Lepisosteus oculatus: one gene and its partners. The protein of the gene in region 3 purifies or fractionates together with the protein of the main gene of each other region. This does not show direct contact. Links are inferred from orthologs where the notes say so. Each region holds a gene or a part of one and is shown on either strand. Other genes may lie near its edges.

The links. Proteins that work in one complex are often made in the same cells at the same time.
Region 1: the proteins of ptp4a1 (region 3) and metal transporter CNNM1 purify together in Homo sapiens (affinity purification with mass spectrometry; 4 studies listed by BioGRID and IntAct, with this or other methods). This does not show direct contact. The link is inferred for Lepisosteus oculatus from reciprocal best matches to the Homo sapiens genes PTP4A1 and CNNM1.
Region 2: the proteins of ptp4a1 (region 3) and metal transporter CNNM4 purify together in Homo sapiens (affinity purification with mass spectrometry; 6 studies listed by BioGRID and IntAct, with this or other methods). This does not show direct contact. The link is inferred for Lepisosteus oculatus from reciprocal best matches to the Homo sapiens genes PTP4A1 and CNNM4.

The regions. Positions count from the first base shown.
Region 1 is NC_090699.1:30,558,453-30,565,999, forward strand, and holds the start of metal transporter CNNM1, read right to left. Parts: upstream 3,036-7,547; 5' UTR 2,926-3,035; coding exon 1,476-2,925; intron 1-1,475. UniProt on the Homo sapiens protein: Probable metal transporter.
Region 2 is NC_090697.1:69,731,590-69,739,126, forward strand, and holds the start of metal transporter CNNM4, read left to right. Parts: upstream 1-4,502; 5' UTR 4,503-4,520; coding exon 4,521-5,922; intron 5,923-7,537. Other genes in the region: lman2la (lectin, mannose-binding 2-like a), read right to left, coding at 1,373-1,574. UniProt on the Homo sapiens protein: Probable metal transporter. The interaction with the metal ion chaperone COX11 suggests that it may play a role in sensory neuron functions. May play a role in biomineralization and retinal function.
Region 3 is NC_090712.1:20,374,702-20,382,560, reverse strand, and holds the start of ptp4a1 (protein tyrosine phosphatase type IVA 1), read right to left. Parts: upstream 3,006-7,859; 5' UTR 2,596-3,005; coding exon 2,491-2,595; intron 1,856-2,490; coding exon 1,763-1,855; intron 626-1,762; coding exon 495-625; intron 5-494; coding exon 1-4. UniProt on the Homo sapiens protein: Protein tyrosine phosphatase which stimulates progression from G1 into S phase during mitosis. May play a role in the development and maintenance of differentiating epithelial tissues.

The sequences.
Region 1 (7,547 bases), on a different chromosome or scaffold from region 3:
ATCTTTGCAGTTCTGCGGATCGCAAAGACCCTGCCTACAGTTCTGCTAAGCTCCTTCTGAATGTAAAGAGCTATGAGCTGCATGGAAAAGTTTTTTCATTTTAACTTTCTGCTTAGAAACAACTCCCTTGTTCTCTGCCATGTGACATTGCATGTTAATCAGCTTTTAATGTTACAACATGTACAGATTACTTATTGCATTGAATAGGTTTTGGTGTATTAAGGCGATATAAAGAGAAATGTTTCTTTTCCAAGTCATACTTTCATAGTTTCATATACTGGCTTTTCAGGATATCTTTTATTATATATGATTTATGAAATATATTCTCGCTAATACTGTAAAGATAATGGTAGAAAGAAAGCATTTTCCTCCACTCTTATCATCTGTCATACAACCCAGGAGCACAAACATGTTTGTCCACATTTCCTCAAACCATTCCCAATCTGTACAGGGCTCAGTACTTAAACCATACCTTTTACACCCCATCACATATTCTTCATGCCTGGATTCATCACACATTGTAGATAAGCACAGTTCTCCAGATTAACAAATCAATAAATACATTTACACTTTATCACATCACAATATTGAACAGAATGCTTCACACTAGCATTTTGATAAGACAAAAACATTATCATCTGCCCCAGGTAAACTTACTGCCAACTCCCTCTTTGGATATACAGTAACATTTCTATAATTAAGCTGTAATTAAGCTCTGACCACTACTGTGTGAAACACTGGGCTCTAACTTAAAATCCATTTACCACTGTAGGGTATCTGATATCTCTTTGAAAACTAAATATGTTGTGTAAACTGTGTAAATATAAACCATGTTAAATGAAACCACTGATAGCACAATAGTCATCCATTTTCTAATCGATTCTTCAAATTCAGTGTCACAGGGAAGCCAGAGCCTATCCCAGCAGGCAACAGGCACAAGGTAGGGCACATCCAGGAAGGGACGCCAGTCCATCGCAAGGCAGATAAACACACAGACAACCAGACACTCACATTCCGGAACATTTGCCCAGAAGCTGATTAACTTACCAACATGCCTTTAATCTTTGGGAGGAAACCAGGGCACCAGGGGAAAACTATGCAAACATGAGAAAAATGTATGAACTCCAGACAGACAGCACCAAGGAATTGAACCCAGGGACTGCTGCGAGGCAGCATTGCTAACCACTGTGTCACTGTGCTGCTGAAAGCAACAGTCATTTCTGAAAATATTCTACAAACTTAAAGGCGAAAACAGCTTTTTGTCACTGAATGCTGAGAAGCCAAGCCTAGGATGGAGACAGTGCTCAACAGGAGCAGCAGCAGTTAAAGGTCTTTTCATCTCAGCGTAAGCAAGGTTTTAAATTCCTCAGGCGCCAGAAATATCGAACATATTACAGTCAGCAGCATCAACTTTACTCAGAGAGATGACCTCCTTCATGGGCCAGGGTTGCGAGAGGGTGGGAGGCAAGCCTTACCTTTCTTGAACTCTTCCAGCATGGCGTCCAGCTTGGTGTCGTTGAACACACAGTGCAGGGGGTGGTTGTAAAAGTGGGTGATGGTTTTCAAGGGGGTGCAGTCGTCCGGGTCCACGAAAGCCAGGTCTTTCACAAAAAGAATATCCACGATGTTGGACCGCTCGTCCTCGTACACCGGGATCCGGGTGTATCCGCTCTGCATGACCTCTGACATGGTGTTGAAATCCAGCACGGCGTCCGAGGCCAGCATGAAGCAGTCGTTCAGCGGGGTCAGCACGTCTTCCACGGTCTTCGTCCGCAGCTCCAGGGCCCCCTGGATGATGTTCAGCTCCTCTTTCACCAGATCGTGGTAGGGGTCCGTCACCCGCAGCATCTCCAGCAGCTTCTCCCGGGTGTAAAAGCTGCTGATCTCCTGGTGCAGGACAGCGTCCAGCAGCTTGCTGATGGGGTAGGAGATGGGGAAAGAGATGAGCATCAGCAGCCGCGTCACCCAGATGGTCTTGGAAGCGATGGCGAGTCCGTGTCTGGAGGCGACAGAGTGAGGCAGGATCTCCCCGACGAAGAAAATGCCGACGGTGCAGGCCAGAATGGAAACCCATGTCACTCCGAATATGTGGCTCATCCAGACTGCCAGAGAGGCGTTGATGAGGGCGTTGCCCAAGAGCAAGGTGCACAACAGGTAGTTGCCGTGCTTTCGCACGGACTGTATCCGCCTGGCATGCTTCTGCTCCTTGTCGGTACCGCTGTTCTGGATCACCCGGAGCTCCACTGGGTCCAGTGCCAGCAGACTTAGGTTAAGCCCGCTGAAGACGGCAGAAAAACCCAGGAGTAACAGCGAGACGATGACCTGCAGCCAGACGTCGGCCTCTGGAGAACGTTCTACGACTGCCAGCCAGAAATCTCTAGTCCTGAAGTGCTCCCACTTGATCCCATCAAAGGCACACATGGAATAATATTTGATTTTCTCACCTTTGCGCAGGTCCTTGGCGAGAAGCTCCACCAGGATTGAATTCTGGCTGGATGCGGACTTGAAAGAGCCCAAGAGCTCAATATCGGTTGTCCTGGCATTCTTGTCCACACAGAGGTTCCGTTTGGGGTGCACCTGTCCCTCTCTGCCCGGACTTGGCTCTTCAATGAAAGCGATCCACGGCGCTGTAGCCGCATCCCCAGCTCTGCCGCTGACACTTCTGTTGAGTCTCTGCTGGGATGCTGCATAGTACACACGCAGTCTGAACCGTGTTCCCTCAGTCGCCTTCAGCACCCCGTCTTCTACGGACAGCTCTCCCCCTGTGTCCTCCGGCCTGAATCCGAGCAGCCCAAGGGCCGATGCGGGCAAAGAAATGGCAAAAATGAGGAGCAGAGGCAGGGAACCGGGTCGCAGGATGCAGGTCGGAGCGCCAGCAGCCGCAGCATCCGCAGCCATGATGCTGAATGTGTTGTATGAGGACATTGGCGAGCGCAGTCACGTGGCGATGTCACGCTTTATCACTGAAATCAGGGTAACAGCTGGCGTACAGTGTAAATACAGAGGGGCTAAGTGACCGATGGAGGGTAGACCTCTTTAAGAATAACGCGCTGCAGTGACGTAATGTCATTTCGCAAGAAGCGAGGTTACAGCACATACTGTAATCAGAGAAGCGGGGCACCAAAAGCTGCCAGGTTCTGGAAATCCGTGGAAGCTCACGGTTCGTGTGAGAGCAAACGTTTTTCCAATAACGCTGTTCTGCTCCATGCTATTTAACATCCAAAATCAGACAGCTGTCAACTAACCACGAATCACCGCTGATTTTGTTTAAAAACAAAAACGCGTGGAATAGATTCATTATTTCAGCGTGTCATCATTTCTGTGCATAAAACAATACAAGCGCTGGGACCAGCGTCACCTTCCGAGCTGCAAATGAGCAAGAAGAGGTTAATCTCATGCTAAAAATGGAAAAGAAAGGGCAGATTCGCCGAATTTCCGATTAATTCCCTGCAGTCCCCAATGTAACCTGTCACAGCGATCTGTTTCTCCCGATAAAGCACTAGTATCTGAATTTAGGGTTGCATTTCATATTAAACGACGCATTCAAATTTAAAGTTAAACACTTAATTGATAAATATAGACAGGTTATGTTTGGTATGTGTCTTTTAAGGTTCTGTTGCGTGTACAATGAAAATGTTATTCTAACATAATACTTTCTTATAGCTTTCGAAAACTAGGCGAATGTCCTATAAAACCGCCGTTGTTCCTGTTGCAATCTCTTAGCAAAAATTGTTATATTTGCCACTGTAAGGTTGTTTGTACCATTGAAGACGTTAAAAGTGTGTTTTTTGGTCCTGCAAAACGGCATTATCATGACATTCCAGAATGTCCTAGATGACCTTGAGAGATGGTGACGGTGTCATTTTTTTATCGTTAAGTTCTTGTAACAGAGAATACAGTAACAACATAAGCCACAGATGCTGATGGGTCGCTCGGCAGAAAAGGTTGTGGGGACTCGCCACCGAGGAAATTAACCCTGAAGGAGCGATTAAAAATCCCAGTTTAGGTCACTTGATGAAGTGCATGCTTCGATTTGCTAAATCCAAACATTGGCCTTCACATCACCGCATTTTTGTTTGCAAATTTACAAGTCATGAGTCTTTTAAAATATATTTTGTATTTTGGAGCTTATCCAGAAGTACACAATAAAAAACTTGACACTTCGTCCTTTCTGTGCGCTTCAAATAATTTGTTTGCGCTTCTCCACAGCCGCGCTGGAAAAGAAATATGAAGGGCTGGATGAATAAAAGTCTAAGAAAACACCCCGCTTATTTCAGGCCCGTCCGGTAGTGTGCGTCAGACACGAAACAATTGGGTTCGGTCGCGTTTTTCAAATCGCGTAGAATAAACAATATCATAAACTTAAAATATGTTTCCACCTGCACCGTTTTGGTGACACACAGAAGTTGCAGAATATTTACAATTATACCTCCCTTCATTATAACAGTCAGGTACTTCATAAACGTGAAGATGATGTGCATGATTTGCAAAATCTCTGTGATGGGGCAGTGATAGATGGAAAAATAAAGAAACTCTGGCCAGTTATATAGAAATACACCACGAGGTGGCACCCTTTGCACTGTCTTGGCTGTGAAAAGCGTGAGCTAGTTTAGGATTCAAGTACCGCGCACCAGGAGTGCCAGTCTAATCGTGAAATATTTAAATGTCCCCCCCCACCCCGAAATAAAGAAATTCGGAGGCAGAGGAAGCAGACGTTTATTTCCACTCAGCACGTAGTTCACGTTGCTCATTAACAGAACCACAACAAACCACACAGTTCTGTCAAGCCCTGAAATACATTTACCACACCTGAAGAAGGCTCCACGGCCGAAACGTTGTGTTTTCTTTCTTCTTTTTTTCAGCATGGAATAAACCTATTACTTGTTCCTTTGCAGCCTACGCATGCTGACGCAGCTACCCATCGGAACTACTAAAATACATTTAGCGTTTTTATAAAAGACCCCTTCTGAAATGCTATATGTAAGTCCTTTCTGGCTCCAGGGCACAAATATTTAACAATCATTCATGTTACATAAATAAGGCATGCTTGATTTTGTAAGGTAAAACTGAACACGTTTTGCACAGGCAGAGAGACTTGAGAGATACGGTAGCAGTTCGAATGGCCGGGCGTTTACCTGACTTCACGATCTCATGAGGTAAGAATAACGTGTTTCTTATGATTTCCTTTATTGTTTACGGACTGTCTGTTTTTTTTCCAATGACTTGGAAGGAAACGGATAATGAGTTCAAAATGAATTCATCGTTCAGCACTGCTGTGACATACAGTAAGCGCTCAGCTGGTTGGGCTAACGCAGACGCGCTCTAGCAATGTGCAGTGATAGCCAATAAATAATTGTGTTTGTGTAGCACTTTCCACTTTTTGTAGTTTTCCTAATTCATGTAATGTGGTGTTTCAAGATGTCTATTACTCTAGGATCGTTGATTATACATATTAAAAGCAGGTTGTTGCGGCCCACAGAAATTTCTTTGCTGGAGCAGTGCGGTTACCATTCATGTCTGTATTTTGCCACTGACAGTGCACCGTAAATCCAGAATTCTTTTTTCTCACGGAATCTGTGATTGCGTTCCAGTTTTCACACATCATCACTGCTTGGATAAACCCTGTTCCTTTGAAATGTGTGCTGAAACGCTGGAATCCTTCCACTGCACATTGAAAACAAAGATTGGGAAGAAGAAATCTGCTAACCATTTATGGATTAACATTTCCAAAAATGTGCTCTCAGAAGCAAAATCTGGCTTCAAAAGATCATTCATTATTATGGTTGTAGCCTAATGGTTTTAGGATTCGCCTCCGGTGTCACGCAAAAAACAACCCGTACCGCACACTTTACCCTAGCCTGACGAATTTCCATAGATTATCCTTACAAACATCTTCTCCAAAATATTTTTTTTTCATTCAATATACGAGTCTGTAGATACGTACAGTACAACGTTCACTTGACTGATTTTCCTTTTGCAATGTGTTCTTGCTTCTTTGGTTGTTGTTTTATTTTAAAAAGCTGGATATTTCACAAGACACCTGTTCAAATATTCAAACGAAAACCGCACAAGTTTCTCTCGCGTTTCTCAAAAAAGACTTGTCCGCTTTTGTGTTAAGAAACACCAACAAAATATTAGCGGTTTTTTTTTAAAAGATGGGGGACTAGAAAAACACGGCTTTGTGTTGTTGTGTGCTGACTTTACCACAATATTGAGTCGTCTCGGCTTGAAAACCAGACTGTATTATTCTCAGAAGTTTTTTAGTGTAGTCTACCACAAGAGCGCTACTGCTGCTGCAGTTATAACATTTTTGTTACCGCTCGTAATAATAGGGTGATGATAATTGGTGATGTCTGTGGCTTAGTATGCATGTTTTTGCATTTTGTCTCGGTATCTCCTATTCCTCTTCACTCCGAGTCAGGGGTTCCAAGACTTTCTTTCTGGCTCGGGTATCCTATCTGAAAAGGCTGTTTTTAATCTGAACCCACTGTTGAAACTAACAGCAAATTTCAATGCGGTAACTGGTTGTATTTTTAGCCTTAACCTGACAGTAAAATATTTGGGCTAACTCAGCGCGCAGAGGAGTAACAATGAATGAGGTGAGACATTTTGCGTTAAGGAGTCCAGAATTATTAAGTGAGAATGATTCATTTAGAGTGTAGCTGAAGTCTTTGCAGGCTATTTAAGGATCATCTGGACTCCAGTGTGACAGGAGCACGGTCGCTTTCTTTTTAGATCCTAATAAGTTAAAATAAGTCTTTAACCCCATTTCATCAGGAAATAAAGGGACCCGACGTATGAAGTTCTTCCAAAGTTTATATACAAAGAAGATTAATATAGATTTAGATTTGAAACTCTTTGTGTTGAATCTTTGTAATTACTTAAATGCAAGATGAGCTCATAAAACCCAACAAGCAATGCCTTTAATAGTTTGTTGTGTGTAAAGCTAAATATATAAAAAATTCTGAACGTATTTTAAAACTTATCTGAAATAATGCGAATCTCAAACTGTTGAACTGCCTAACCACTTATTATTGAATACTTGCTTGCCTGACCTTTTGCACGATTGTTTCGCGGTGTGAAATATTTATAATACTTCTTTTACAAATGTGTCCTTTTATTTCGGGTAACCCCACTTAGTTTTTTTTTTTAATTACAAAGGACTAAAGAGACTATTGTTGAATTAAATCCTACAATTTAAACATGAACTTCCCGTGTACTACTTAAACTTTTTAACTAAAATAAAAAAAAAACATTGGTCAATTCGCTAAGGAGTTTCGAGGTTAAAAAGGAAATCATCTGTTAACCAGAGTCGCGTTATCCCTGGATTAAGTCTTCGCTACTGACCCCTTCATTGTGTTTTACTGACACCTGCCACTGTGATTTTAAAAGAAAGTAAACGTACAGTCACATCAGCCCCCGCTCCAGTCCACCTGCTCCGCTCTCGGGATAGGAGAGCAAAACCCACGTCTCAAAACATGCTGATCTTAATATCCGTAACCGTGTGCTGCTCACACATCTCTGCCATAGTGTAGGCGATTCGTTTT
Region 2 (7,537 bases), on a different chromosome or scaffold from region 3:
CTAGTACTTGACGGTACATTACATCTGACAAGACAGTTTGATACTGACAAACAAGATTTATTTGAACGGGGAACTTATTGTTATTCTTGGGATTATGGGGCACTGCGATCAACATGAGGGGATTCGTAATTTCCTTCCCATTGTAAATGTAAGGAACGGGTAAGGGTTCATTGCGTGCTGAAAGGTAAAGAAAAGATACACAATGTTTCTGGCTGTGGAACCTTTTTCAGGTGACACATTGAAGGCAAATTGAAAGCACTTTGAAGCGAAAACACCGGTTCGTATTCCAACCACTAGGGGGAGCTATATTACTTTGAACGTTTTGCTATGGTGTGACTGTTTTCCTTACACTTATTTAGCGCTTTACAGGTAATGGGGACTCCCCCGACCACTACCATGATGCAACAGCAGCCAAAGTGCGCCAGAGTAATGAAGCCAATTCATTTAGCTATATACCTGCGTAAGATCTCATACTGTATCGGTTAACCAACATAAAAATTGCTCCATAATATTATTTAGGGATGAATTAAAGTGGTTTACACTTCTACCTTTTTTACAGTTTTAATTGTGAACAGAACTTGCAGGCTGGTTTAAAAACACGGTTATGCATACTGCAAAACACAGAATCAGACCAGGAAAAAAACACTTCCATTCGGTTTCTCCGCCAAGGCAAAGGAACCAAAATCACGTACTCGTGTGATCAGGGTTAGGGTTACACACTCCAGAAACCAAAGCAGCCTGCATCGCGGTTGCTCAATTCAACTTGCTGAACCGCCTTGTCAGGTCGGGCTGACCTGTGTACCGGCGGCAACTTTCATGTGAGATTATGGCAAGGCCTCCTCCTTACTCGCTCTCTCGCCTACATCGTTCACCTGTGTTCCCCCAGAACATAATTCCTGAAATGGCTGTGACTGGATGACTACCTCGCGTCAGATTTCGCAACACAACAGCACTGGTCTGGTCAGGTCGCCTCTACTTCTTGCATTACGCAATCCAAGCCAGGCGAGTCACGACGTGCAGGGCTAGGAGGCTAGGAGTCAGGTGCATGCATCAATAAAGCCACGCTGTTTTAAACGCGTGTTGTCAGTGCTCGGGTTGACTTCATATTGTAACGCTTACGGATATTTAGCGTTGCCATGGTTTGACAAGCCTGTCGAAAACACTAGCTACTGAAGATAACGTGACTGTGTTGGCGGATATTTTAGTGCACTTCACGTCGAGTCGATCCGATCCGCCAAGCCAGTGTCAGAAAGCGAAGGCAGCTGGAGATTTCAGCGCTGTCATTTGATTTGCAGGGAGAGTCTTTTCTCTCTCCCGCTATGATCGATCCGCTCTCACCCTCCCCGTTCATCTGTACCGTAATGGATCTTACCTTGGTACGGCTTGATCAGCGAATGCTCCCTTTTCAGGAACTCTTCCACCTCGTGTCCTTCGTCACCCCAGCACGGGCTTGCCGTGAGCAGGATGAAGACAACTGCGAACGGGATCTTTTTGATCATATTGTGAAAAGAAATGAAATAAAAAATTCCCTTGCGAGCCCCAGCTAGAACCTTCCCGTTCATGGCAGCGGCCATTTTGCTCCTCCCCCTCCCTCCATGACACGCCTTTCCCCACCTACCTCGCCTCTCAGTGGCTGGTAGGATGTGTTGTCATCAACTATTCGCTGCACTGAACTGCCATTCACGAGTCTAACTCTACCTGTGCCCCGCCCCCGATGAATAATGACAGTTCGTTGGAAGCGAAATATGATTGGTTCAGGGGCTAATACCCGCCCACTTGTGAGACTTTTGGGATTCTATTGGTAAAAGTTATTATCAATTAAAGAGACTCCAAACATCCCGCCCACTCCCGGAAGCAGTTGCCTTGGTAACTGATTCCGTTAGGAGGGTGAATAGTAAGATGTTGAAAATGTTTGTCTAATAGTGTAACGTTAAAAAACCAATCTGAACACTTAAAAAAGTTTTTCTTAGCCACAGGCCATATACCTTCTACTTGAGCGTTACTTGTTTCTTTCAAGTTTCAAAAAGACAAAATCACATTTCGTAGAAGTATGTCGGATAGCACAAGAAATCAAAACCGAGAATAGGAACGATTTTTTAATGAACTGTAGCTACATATGCTTAAAAGTTTTGCTATGTTTATGTTTTTATTATCTACCCGAAACGTATTATTAAATAACGAGGTTTCCTATGATACTTAAAGTGCATATAGTCGAACGGAATTATTTTCCAGAACCGCAAGCACAGCGGATGTGCTTTTGGATGTTTCTTCCTTACTGATCTCATCCTGGACTTTTGAGGTGGAAACCTTAAAACCTTAAAAGCAGTTTTCCAAGAAGCCCGGTACGCTCACCCGAGCAGGGACTGGTTTGTCGCGGGGCAGGACCTGGGTGTGACGCCTTGCTTCCTCTCAAAGAGCAGCAATTTCTTTTTCTGAAGACTAATATTTCGCTTGGAAGCCTGACGTTCATATTTAGCAAGGGATTTGATGGAACAATTGCAATGAAATTATTTAAGCTTCTACATTTTCATCTTATAATTAATAGTTTGATGTTTGATATTTGTTTTTTGAGAGCAAAGGGTCAAAGAATCCGCAGTCTGATGATTTTCCAAACTTTGCATATGAAAGGCCGTCGAAAGTGTGTTTTTAAAACGGTTTACGAAGCCAAAATTGTAACAGCGACTGAACTCAAGCAAGCCCGGGAATTCATTTCGAAATCTAATGCATCTTGAGGCTGACTCATGTGGCTCACGAATGTCTGAACGCAGACCTGAAACATAGGAGAATGAAATCATGTGCGCTAAATATGACATAGTGTTTATAACGCCCGATCACAGCCTAGCCACAAAGCCCTATTCAGACAGAAGACTCATTTCCTGGAAACCGCTAACTGAGAGGCTGTGGAGCGCTGAGCAGTTTTGAGCTCTGTCACATGGCATATACTGTAAGGCCGCAGTTAGGCTTTTTAGTTTTGTTTCCCGCCTCTGGCGTCGCCGACAGGGAACGTGATCTGTTCTCATCATTTTGCCCTTTACCTTATATTGGCTGTTGTTTCTTTCTCGGTCCTCCCCGTGCGCTCTTTCACTCACAATACAGCCAATAACACGCTTCTCCAAAACCTTCCCACTACAATTTAACGCTTATTCATAATCCCAAAAAATCCTACAACCCTGTACTTGTGCTCTTCTATTGTTTGCTATAATTATAGTTTACGAGTAATCTTTGCTTTGCTCTGATAGTGTTTGTATAAGTTGTTTGTTACTCTAGTATTCTATTTTATTGGCCTTTATCGGTCATTTATGCACATATATCAATCTACAAATCCCCTTTGATATCGAGGTGGCATCGGCAGGAAAACACTATGTTAACGATTTATGATAGTCCTCAGTATTTTAACTATATTATGTTAAGAGGATTTTTTTGCGGGCTTAGTCAATTCCAATCAAAACTTCCACATTCGCATGTACAGCAGGTGGGATTAAGAGGTTCTCCTAATCTACTTGGAAAAGTCATGATAAGTGCTAAAATAATTGTGTCGGGAATAATTCTGTGTACTGAGAATTATTCTGAGCTGTTCAATAAAAAAGCATTTTTGTTCAGTTTACAGTCCATTTCATCACAACGTTTGTTTTAAGAATGAATTAAAGAGTTTTTATTTTTTAGCTCTTGAGAGATTGACGGTATTCATTATAATTATTGTAATAAAGTAAATAAACGCATGATTTCATCCTCATTTGTAGTAAAAATGTTTGGATTACAAGTCATTCTTCCGGTACCCCCACCCCCACAGCACCCTTCATTTAGCTTTGCTGGATTTCATTCTTTAAAAGTGTGGAGGCTGAGGCTGCGTGATGTCATTATCACCCAATCAGGGGCCACCCGGACATGATGATGTAATGTTTACCAGCAAGTTCAGTAGCACTGCGGTTCAATCGGATATAATCACTGAAAAAAAAAGTTAAAACGCCTTTTTTATTTTTATGAGGATATTATTTTAACATCACTGTCAAAATGGTGAACCTCATTAAGATTCGATGTTCTGTAGCTAATATATAAACTATATATGGAGTGCATACTTATTCCGTCTGAAGTAGTAAACGATATATTTGTATTTTATAATTACAGTGAAAAAAATAGTATAATTTCCTAAATTTCTTATTATTAATTAAAAGACTCTTACTCTTACTGGAACACTTGAAAAGTTGAATTGCTAAATATCACATATACGTCAGTTATGCCATCGGTATGTGCATCTATGTCAGTTAAAACAGTCTTAAAGGATAGTTAAAGGAATTGCTTTCAGGATATACTATGAACAATAACGACTCCAATTAAATAAAAATATTTCCTTCCATCTTAACAAGTGCACTGCTCTTCCTTAAAAAGAAAGTGATGATTTAGAAGGCGGCCCTAACGTCATATGTGGGCGGTATAGAAGGCGGGGTTAGGATAATGAAGAGGCGGGTTTTAAGAAATGAGTAGGTGACGTCAGCTCCCAGCTTGCGGAGAGTGAAACAAACATGGCGACAGACTGGAGTGGGCAGGGGTATATTCTAACTTTGATCGTTTTTCTATGGAGCTCAACAGCTGGACGAATGGAGGCAGCAACCGCAGAGGTCAGTAACAGCCAGATCTTGGGCATGCGGCTGGTGTGGAGCAACAAGTCGGCCACGACCACCAACGAGGGAATCATCCAGGTAACAGAGGGCAGTGAGGTCCAGCTCAGGTTTTACGGGCTGCAGCTAAACTCGGGCACCTGGTCACAGATCAGGTTTACGGAACACGGAGACGGAGTGGGAGAGGGCGAAAACAATGCCTTTAGCCACTCTTTTAACAGGACTTGCGCCGATTTCACCAAAGACATCGCGATCAATAATTTCATGAACGTCAGCAGCCAGGGCACCTCCGGGGTGCTCAAATTAGCCATCAAGACGCTCCGCAAGAGCGAAGAGTCCAAGGAGTACAGCTTGTGCGTGAAACGCAGCCCGGAAGGCGAGTGGGACCTGTTCGGGGAGAACGATGGCAAGCTGAAGGTGGTGGAGGAGAAGTCGTCGCTGCTCCCGCTCTGGCTGCAGATCATATTGATCGCCCTGCTGCTGTTACTGTCCGGCATGTTCAGCGGACTGAACCTGGGGCTGATGGCTTTAGATCCCATGGAGCTCCGCATCGTGCAGAGCTGCGGTACGGAAAAGGAGAAGAAGTACGCCCGCAAGATCGAGCCCATCCGCAGGAAGGGCAACTACCTTCTGTGCTCGCTCCTGCTGGGCAACGTGCTCGTCAACACGACCTTGACCATCCTGCTGGACGACCTGATTGGATCTGGCCTGGCTGCGGTGGTGGCCTCCACCATCGGCATCGTCATCTTCGGGGAGATCATGCCCCAGGCGCTGTGCTCTCGCCACGGCCTGGCCGTGGGGGCCAACACCATCGTGCTGACCAAGTTCTTCATGCTGCTCACCTTGCCCATGTCCTACCCCATCAGCAAGCTGCTGGACTGCGTGCTGGGCCAGGAGATCGGCACCGTCTACAACCGGGAGAAGCTGGTGGGGATGCTCAAGGTGACGGAGCCCTACAACGACCTGGTGAAAGAGGAGCTCAACATGATCCAGGGGGCGCTGGAGCTGCGGACCAAAACCGTGGAGGACGTCATGACCCCCCTGAGCAACTGCTTCATGATCCACAGCGACGCCGTGCTGGACTTCAACACCATGTCCGAGATCATGGAGAGCGGCTACACCCGCATCCCGGTGTTCGAGGACGAGCGCTCCAACATCGTGGACATCCTGTACGTCAAGGACCTGGCCTTCGTGGACCCAGACGACTGCACCACGCTGAAGACCATCACCAAGTTCTACAACCACCCGGTCCACTTCGTCTTCCACGACACCAAGCTGGACGCCATGCTGGAGGAGTTCAAGAAAGGTAGGGCCCGTCGTCATAGCAACAGAAGCTTGTCGAGCGCATGGGACTGGCGCGGTGTCAAAGAAGAGCACTGGAGAGCTTCTGCTGCTGAAAAGCCTAAGGCTGGAAGCCGCAGTGTGTTTTGCAGTTCCAGACTGGTCTCATTTGTCAGTCTGGTTTGCCCACCTCTTTTTCATGTTGTTGTAAAGATGGCGTTCATTAAAAGGTATGAACAGCGCCTCTGTCTTTTTTAAATTAGCACTGTGGGGAAAAAGAGGGTATAAGGTTTGTTAGCCTTGGTTTTCTCCTCCCAGGAGTCATTGACACCTCTCTTCTGGTATATAATGATGTGCAGGGCTCCATACTCAGGATTTACTGTTGCTCTTTGTGCGTTCATGACCTCACAAATCTAAAACGTCCTCAGAAGTGATGAATATAGTTTCATGCTTTCGAGTTTAAACATTTGTGTTTTTAGGTCTGTGTGTCCGACCGGCTCTGCAGGCATCCTGTGTTGGGTTGTTTCACGAAGCAAAATGATCTGTGCGTTCTCATTTCTAATCCCTCCTCCGCCCGCTTACCACTTGTATTTCTGACAGGACAAACACTCGGGGCTGACGGATTGAGAAATCATTTCAGGCTCGAGTGTTATTGTGTGAGTGAAGAGTTGTGCAGCTAAGTTAGACCATCCAAGTTGTCCTTACAGGATACGTCCCTCTTTGTGTCTGTCCATGTATCTGATCTTGTCTGCCAGCCTCTGCAAATATCTGTATGCCTGGCTCTCTGCCCTTCTTACATCAGTGGTGTTGGGGAGACTGCTGTGGCTGTTGCTCTGCGAAGGCGTGTGTGGTTGCACGGCTGAAGTTACAGGCTGCCTCTGTGCTGTGTGTCTCCCGCGGACGTGCCGGTGTCCCCTCGCTCACCCTGTGCACTGAAACCTTTGGAGAGGAGACAGGTTTGCAGATTATGCAGCAGTGTGGTACAGCAATTCCAATGCTTTGTCGGGAGGCCGCCATCAGGCCCTTAAAGAGGCAGCACCAGTAAGGACACACCAGGGCGCCTCTGACTAGGCGTCTGCTGGAGTGTTTTTCCATTCAGGCTGCTGAGGGGCTGGGATGTTGGTGAACATTTCTCCATGTGTCGTTTTGATGCTTTGTGTTTTCACAACCGCCTATGTTCCCAGCTCCCTGTGGGGCTTCTTTTAAACAAACATTTACTGTTTAGCAAAGAATTTCAAGACAGAAATGTGCATGTGAGAATTGGAGAGAGAGTTAATTGCCATATTCCTTCAAGGCTAACAAAAAGAAAAAGCTCTCAAGGGGAATGAAACCCATGCTTTGTTTCAGGGCTTAACAGCTACAGTTCTGCCTCTCCTCTTCCTGCTGTGGTATCCAAACTCCTTTTTTTTGCACCATCTGTCCTGTCCGAAGTGACATGAAGGCTGGGGTGTGCAGACTCACTGAGGGTCTGATGATCCCCTGATCCCCTGATGAACCGAGCTCGTTATTTACTCAGCAAGACTCTTTCATCTCTAGTGCTTCACCCAGGTTTTAAACTGCTCCCAGTTTTAAGGTTATAAAGCTGACAGAGCTGTAGCCTTTGAGGTTAGGAGTTTCAGTGTGTCCGGTGTTGTCTGTTG
Region 3 (7,859 bases):
AGCTCTGGAAAGCAATTTTGGACAGAAATTAAAAAAAAAGTCATTTCATTGACCAAATTATAATGCAAAATGCCTGCAATATATTGATTAAATGTACATACTCCTCCCCTTAATTCAAATTGGCTAAGACTTGATATTTCTTCAGTATTAAAGTGGGTCATGTACTGTTTCAAACATATGCAACAACATTTACCAAAGTGTTGTATATTTTTAAGATTTTAAGCCTGACTCTCAAATTATGTGCTGCCAACATATAAAAAAATTCTGTAAAATAAAGACATGTAAATGACACCTCTATCATTAACTAAACCGTTTTTTAGAACCAATAAAAACAATAGCTACAATAAACTTTCCAAAGGAAGAATCATCTTAGAACAGGTCATTTGTTTTGCCAATTGAGATGTTAAAAGAGTGGATGGAAGATTAGTAACAAAATAAATGTTACTTCATATTGGCTGCTCTTCAAAGAGCAACACAATGAAGACAAAACACACCTGCCAAGTCCTGCTACACAATGGACAGCAATGCAACAGCCAGGCTCCTCACGGAATTTAGCCCTCAGGAGGTTCAGCCAGTCATCGACAATCTGGTTGGAAGGTGGGGCTCCATCATCAAATGGCCAATCCTGTAGAAAACATTCAGAGCAGAAAAGCATGAAATTCTACCAATTCCTCACATTTATAAAGTGCTTTTCACCCCTAAGGATTCTAAAGTGCTTCTCATCCATGAGGGACATGTTCCATCGACCTCTGAAGTACAGTTCCGACCTGGTTGTCACAGAGCAGCCCTTATGGGCCAACAGTCCCACCACACAGCAGATTAGGCAAAGAAGTGAGGCAACAACTTTCAACAACTGAGGTAAACTAGGCTAGACTGAGAAAATTTTAGCAAGTACAAGGCTGCAGAGATCAGTGATGGCAGTGATCGCACCCCGGTCAACTAATCCTGCCATAACCTTGACAGCACTCAGTCGATTGTGCACCACAGTGCGCTGTTAAGAAACTCCCCCTGGCAGTCAGCTAGTGACATCACCCACAGGCTTGAACCCACAATTCTAGAGCCCCACCTGCACACAGGTAAATGAGTTCAACAACCGGGCCATGGAATGTCATGGGATCTTTAAATGACAGAGTAAAAAGAAACCTTGGCTTAACACCTCATCAGAAGATGGCGCCTCCTTCAGCTCTCCTAACGTGTTCCTGGTCACCACTTTTCGGTGAGGAAAGAAGAGCACCTCTGATTTTCCACCAACACCACTTCAAGACCAACTTGATTTTCCTTAGTTTCTCAGCCAGTACTGACCAGGTTCAGCTTGGCTTAGCTTCCAATGTCTGATGAGAACAGGCTAGAATTTCAGCCAAAGCTGAACCTTAATGCTCAGATACATTTTATCTGAATATAAAGTTATTCTAACAGGATTATTGAAACAGAACAAAATACAGAGAACCAAAATAATTGATTTTAAAAGCAGCTGTTGCAGTTACCTTGAACTTGATTATATAGTTTTTGCATAGAAACGTGGCAGTGTTGAGGAAAAAGAAAATGTCAAGTCTAATCTAACAAACCAACTATCCCTCTCCCAACATTCGTCACCACTCTGAAGTTTCCATTCATTTTACCAAATGAAATAAAGCACAAATGGATTAATTGTTGCATTGGTCTAATTCAGACCCACCACTAATCTTTTTCACCTGAACTCATGGATTCCAAGTGGGAAAATGGAACCGGATATTCCCAATAAATGAACCTGCTCAGCACTTACCAAAACCTGAATGCCTTCCTTTTCCACCAGAGATGTATCATAGGTAGCTTCACAAACTCTCACCACCGTGGTAACACCATACTTTTTCAGTTCCTTTAAAACAAAGCAACAAGTCAAAATCGCATTCAAGTCAAAACTAATTTTTAATACCATATAGAAGTGGAACCTACTTCATCTGGTACTAAAGCAGAGGTGACTTTAAGGACACACTATGTGACACTAGGCAAACAACAGATCAGGTGGAGAAAGGAGAAACTGCTTTACCAGCCGAATTAAGGGGGAACTTTAAGAAAATGTTGGAAAAAAGAGTGGAATTTAACCGCTAGGTTTTTATGAAAAGTGCCATGGAATCTTTAACGACCAAGTACTGAGGAGCTACAGATTACAAACATTCCAGCAAGCCCCTGTATTCAACGTAAAAAATTGTATCATATCTATTTAATGTAATATATTTAAGGGAGAAGGGGATTAAGCATAGTGTTTATAATGTTTTAGGTGAGGCAATACTGTCAGGAAATTATTACAAATTACTGACAGCCAAGGCTGATGGAAATTGGCTGCTATAATCCCTCCCAAAATTGTGTTATAAACGTCATTAAAAAAACTGGATTCAATCTATACATGGGAAAAAGGATCACTGGTTTATATTATGGAGAGTAAAGCTACAGTTCTTCTTTCTATAAATCATGGGTGTCACAGATATTTTTCTGATGGTGTGCGGAACTCACCTCTATAAACTTGTTCAGAGTGGCATTAGTGGGGTTGTGGGTGATGAGGAATCTCATGTTCTTGTACTTGATTTCCACAGGGGCAGGGCGATTCATTCGGGCCATTGTTAAAAAAGGTTTTGTACAAATTTAATAAAGAACAACAATAATAACAAAAAATGCTTAAAAATATCCAATACAAATTGACGTGGATATATGGGAAAAAAGACTTTTTTTTCTTTCACTGTACTCCACTGGAAATTCTCTCCTCTGCAAAGATGAGGTCTAGGAAAATAAGCTGGGGGTAGGTGGCTGGTAATGGATCACTAAATAAAAAGCAGCAGATCTTCTTGATTCCAGTAATACTGAAGCCAACAAAGAAGGCAGTGCACCAAAGGTTACCCCATCCAGGTTCGAGCTCCTCTGTGAAGACAAGTGCTCTGCCGGGACTATTCAATGCTTCTTATCCAGGTTATCAGCGCCGCCTCAGCTCCTAAGGGGGTTTCTGTGTGGAGTAGTAATGAATTTCTAGAGTTCACTTGTCTGCATAGACTCCGTGCTGTGCCTGGCAGTAGTCTCCACTGCCCTTCAGAAACTCCATAAATGTGTGACCAAGAACACCACAGAACTGCTGCAAGAGAAACCACCAGAACAAGCGTTAACACGTGTTCACAGGAACCCTGGCCGACCCCACTGCTAAACACTTTCTAAAGATGATATGTTGAATGTGACATTTATCCTGACTGAACTGTTGCAAATACAAATCAAAAAGCTGGAACTCCTTTGATTGTTGTTTTTTAAAACATTTTTGAAGGCAGAAAACTGTGCTGAATTGCAAGTAACAAATCATAATCTACACCTGTGGCTATAAAAGCCAAGTCTTCAGCTTTGCTTTATTGTGCTTTTCTCAATGTGCTGCGTCATTAAATGTCCCAGTTGCATAGTAATAAACCTTCAACAAAATGAACACTTAAAAAGTACTTGAATCACACAACCATGATTCATATGCACTATTTTATAGACCATTTGGCATTTTCTGCAAGTACGCAAACTGAAGTACGGCTAACCTCCAACAGGTGAATAAGATGGAAGAAAATGAAGATAAATACTTAAATATCTAAACAAATTAAGATCTATTCAGGATGATGGGGAAGCGTGGAAGTAAAGCATGTGTTCTTCAGCCATGATTGTCTAAAAAAATCTTTTTGGTTTCAGACATAAAATGGAATTGTAACAAGAATAGTATGTGCATATTTTACCTTAAAATAACTTGTTTTTACCATTTTGCACAAAGTCATTTGTATTTCAGCAAAAGAATTTGTAAAGTGTACAGGATCTTTACCATTACAAACCAAGTATCAACCATTAAGTCATATCTACTTTAAAAACCTCTGTTAAAGTCCTAACCTCTTTCAGTCACTGCTTAGCAATACTTATTGCAAAGGCACCACAGAATCAGAGACCAGAATATGCCAGTGATTAGCTGGACTGTTAATACAATTCTCGTGAGCACTTAACCTCCTGGCTGTGCATCACATTGAGGAGTCCCTGTGAATACTCCCGAAACACATGGAACAGTTTCAGACTATAGTGCCCCACGCTTCAACAACTGATGTGCAAGATCTGAAATGTGGCTGTACATATTTCTAGGACTGATAATTACTACGTCACTTGTAAAAGAAAAAACATCTAAGAGAACGAGCACCTAGCCCGAGAGAGGAGCACTATGTAAAAACCTTTGAGAGAGACATCTGCCTTGTTACATCTGGGCCATGCTTCCCGGTCACACTTTCTCCACCTGCACTTCCTCAAAACACTACCATGCTACATTTAAAATTAACCTACGCTGTTGGGAAAGAAAAAATAATTATCTATGCACACCATTAAAAAAAAAAGTTATATTAGTTATGGGCAAGGTTTGAAGTATCAGCCAGCCACCTCTGTGCTGTGAATAACACTTTTGTCCAGCTAATTCAGGGGAAACAGGTTGCAGGTAAGACTTCTGCATTCAAATCAAAAGGGACTTCACACAACGAATCTATCAGATGAGCATCAATGAGTCATAGTCATGAGACGGCAAAACATTTTTCTACACTCGACATAAGGCTCATTTTTATATGAATCAGGCCTTGAGCAGCGACTCTTAATATCATGTGATTACATCTGTTGGCAGATGAAAGAAAAAATGGTTTAAGAGTCAAGATGACTTCATGGCGTCCACCTGTAGTGGCACAAGTGACGCTGCGCACTTCACTGGACCAGGCCGCCCGCTCAGGGAGCAACGGATTTCAGCGCAAGAGCTGCTTTCTCTCTCTCTCCCTGCTAGCACCGGTTAGTTATAGTCGTAAAAACGGAAAGGGTCGCTTCAGGATTTTTTTAACCGTGCGTTCCTTATTTAAAGCCACGACTTTAAATATTTAATATTTGATAAAGCTAAACGTATTTTTTTAAAATCTACACCCTTATCGTGGAAACAAGTGTTACTTTGACAATCCAATGCTAATAAAATGTTTAGAATTGGCGGAAATTTCCCTCCACGGAAAACTCGACATTCCCTTTCCTATAAGCTACTAACAGGAAGCTTAAATCAGAGGGGAGCCCTAATTATTTACAGCACTAGCAGTTTCGACCACGTTCCTGTAAGGCCATTTTGTGAGCAGGTTCCTGCTTGAATCCCCCCGCTCCGCCTCCTCGCTGTAGCGCAACGTATCCCGAAGCATCACTTGATGTACAATTTAGCTACTGTGTAGCATATCCCACTGTGGTAATAATTTCCTTCTCGGGGCAAATTCAAGGCGTCCGCCGCGGCTCAAATGCCTACATACAGAGAGAGGCTGCTGGCCCCCGCGGTACCGGGCACCGGCGCCGATGATAAACCGGGAGATCCAGGGCAAACCCGTGCCCTACTTCTGAGACCGAACTGGATTAAACAGGCTTCCAGTCGGGAGCCGCGCAGGTCCGCCACCATGTTCCCGAACGCGATTTGTTTCCCTTAGTGTTCTATGTCTCAGTTTTATTTTCCTGATGTTACTTGTACACGCCGATTATGTTTTTTTTTAACCCAACCCCCCCCACACACACACAAAATACACGAGGGTGAGAAAAGAGGGGGGAATCAATGAACCGATTGCACCGGGCGGGTATACCACCCCATACCTGCTGTAAAAGGGAGAAAATGGCTATTTTCTCATGTTTGGAATCAGAAAAAAATAAAAACGTGTTTTGTGAGGTTAAACCAGATATGTACAGAATAGAAGCACTTAGGTCTAACATAAACCCGACACATCGGGAGGGAGCGGGCGAATGCAGCTCTTTGTGTAGCCTGTAATTTCTGCCTCTGTCGTTTGAGGCCTAATCACTGGACTCCGATTAAGATGCGTCTTGAAAACGGAATCGTCTTTATAAATCGTCATGAGCATAATAAACAGCACCCAGCATATGTTGCATACGACATATGCAACACAGTTACTGAAGCATTTGCTAAATTAAACTGTTTACCATGAGAAATTGCCCTAGGAACCCGTTCCCAGGCATGCAGTAGGCGGTCTTGCCCAGGCGTGCCTTCACGATCCGCGCCGGCATTCATTTAACAACCAGCGCAAGAAACCAGTATTAAATTCGCAACCACGCACTCATACATTGACAGCGATAAGTAAATCATAAAAAACGTGTGACATGTAACCGACAGAATTTACCCTCCCCCTAAGAAAGACACGCTGGCGAATAATGGCAAGTTAGAAAAGAGGCCACAATGTAGCCAAATTGTATCACAGTGTAGGATAAGGACTAGAAAAAAAAACAAGATATCTTTTATTAAAAAAAGAGGGATACTTACAGGGATATGCTTACTCATTGAAGATTGTAGCTTAATCATAAAGCCGGTCCCTAGGAAGAAGAGAAAAGGGTATAATGGTTTTGTACCATACAGCTACCGTCTCTGACTGCGTCGGCGTCTGCTCCGCTGCTGTCAGTGCTGGGCAGGCAGTGATCTCGCCTCTTGTCTCCACCCCACCCCCGCCGAAGACAGCGCAGCTCCGGACTCTGCGTCACACGCCTCTCCGTTCCTCTCCAGAGCCCCGACATTGCCGCTGCGCTCAGTGGCTAGGGCAGGATGAACTTATGCAAACAGTATATCCAATTAGTCCTGCCATTGCCAGATTCACTGGTGGGTGTTAGAGCTCTCCTCCGTAATGGGATGTAATCACACAGTTCTATCTATCATAGGGACAACAATCGGAAAATATCATTTTTTTCCCCCCTGGGCTTATTGGAATGAGATTTGGAGATAGCATGTTATGAGAAAGCTTTCTTAACAAGGGATAGTCTGCTGTTAAAGTGATGTAGGTACATAATTCTGCATATATTGTGATTCGTTTGAATCACTTTCTTAAGCTTGTCACGAACCCAAGTCTTCAAACAGCGCTCCTAGACGTCAAGACCTCAAACATCCTCTCAAAAAAATATACATAGAATCGTTAGTATAATCCTTTACATTATCATTTTCTATAATATACAGAATATAATATATGATTCTTTAAATATATCCACAAATACATATCTGTATTGCTTCTCATAGTTTTGCTAACTACAGTATTTTCAGTTTCCTTTAACACACTCACTTCTTTCCATTCCTCTGTCGCTTTTTTGAAGTGGCCTCGGAAATAAGCAGGAGGGTTCACCAATACCGCCCATCCGCATTGTGAGGCCGTAAATGTTAATACTATTTATAATCTTTACCAATGAAGAATCGTGTCTTGTGGTTTCTGCTGCAACATTTTTTTAAATCAAAATCTGAATCATTTTCCTGTGTTTAGGAATCCTTAAAATATTTTATGTAGTACTCCAAAAATCATTTATGTTCCAGTTCACATCACAGGCAGTTTTAAGGTTCACAAGGTATTGTAAATGTCTGTGTCTTATGGGATAGGTATGTCATGCAAACTGCCCAGCCTTGTTGTTAGAGCAGATGAGCTGGGATCTTTCAAGAAATGGCTGCATGATCATGGGAAAATAGGGGGAAATGAGGGTCAGGGAAGGATATGGAAACAGAATGAGGGCAGATATAAGGCTTATAACTGCAAGTTCAAGTGGTCACAAATGCTTAAAAATTAGGTATATCAACAGGAAAGAAAAAAGGACATGTAAGGTTCTGACGTTCTTCATTCTTAAATTGTTTGACCTGAAATGACAAGATTGTGACTTGGTAGCAGATCCTCTATTCATGTGGTGGGTTTATAATGCACTCTGTAAAGTTTCTTAATTCAATTCACGGGGATCTGCAGTTTACTTTCATGTCTACATATCTGCATTGTAAGAAATCATCTTCTGGATTGAGAAGATCCTAAGAAGAAGCAGATGTTTCTATGAATTATGGAATATATGAATAATAA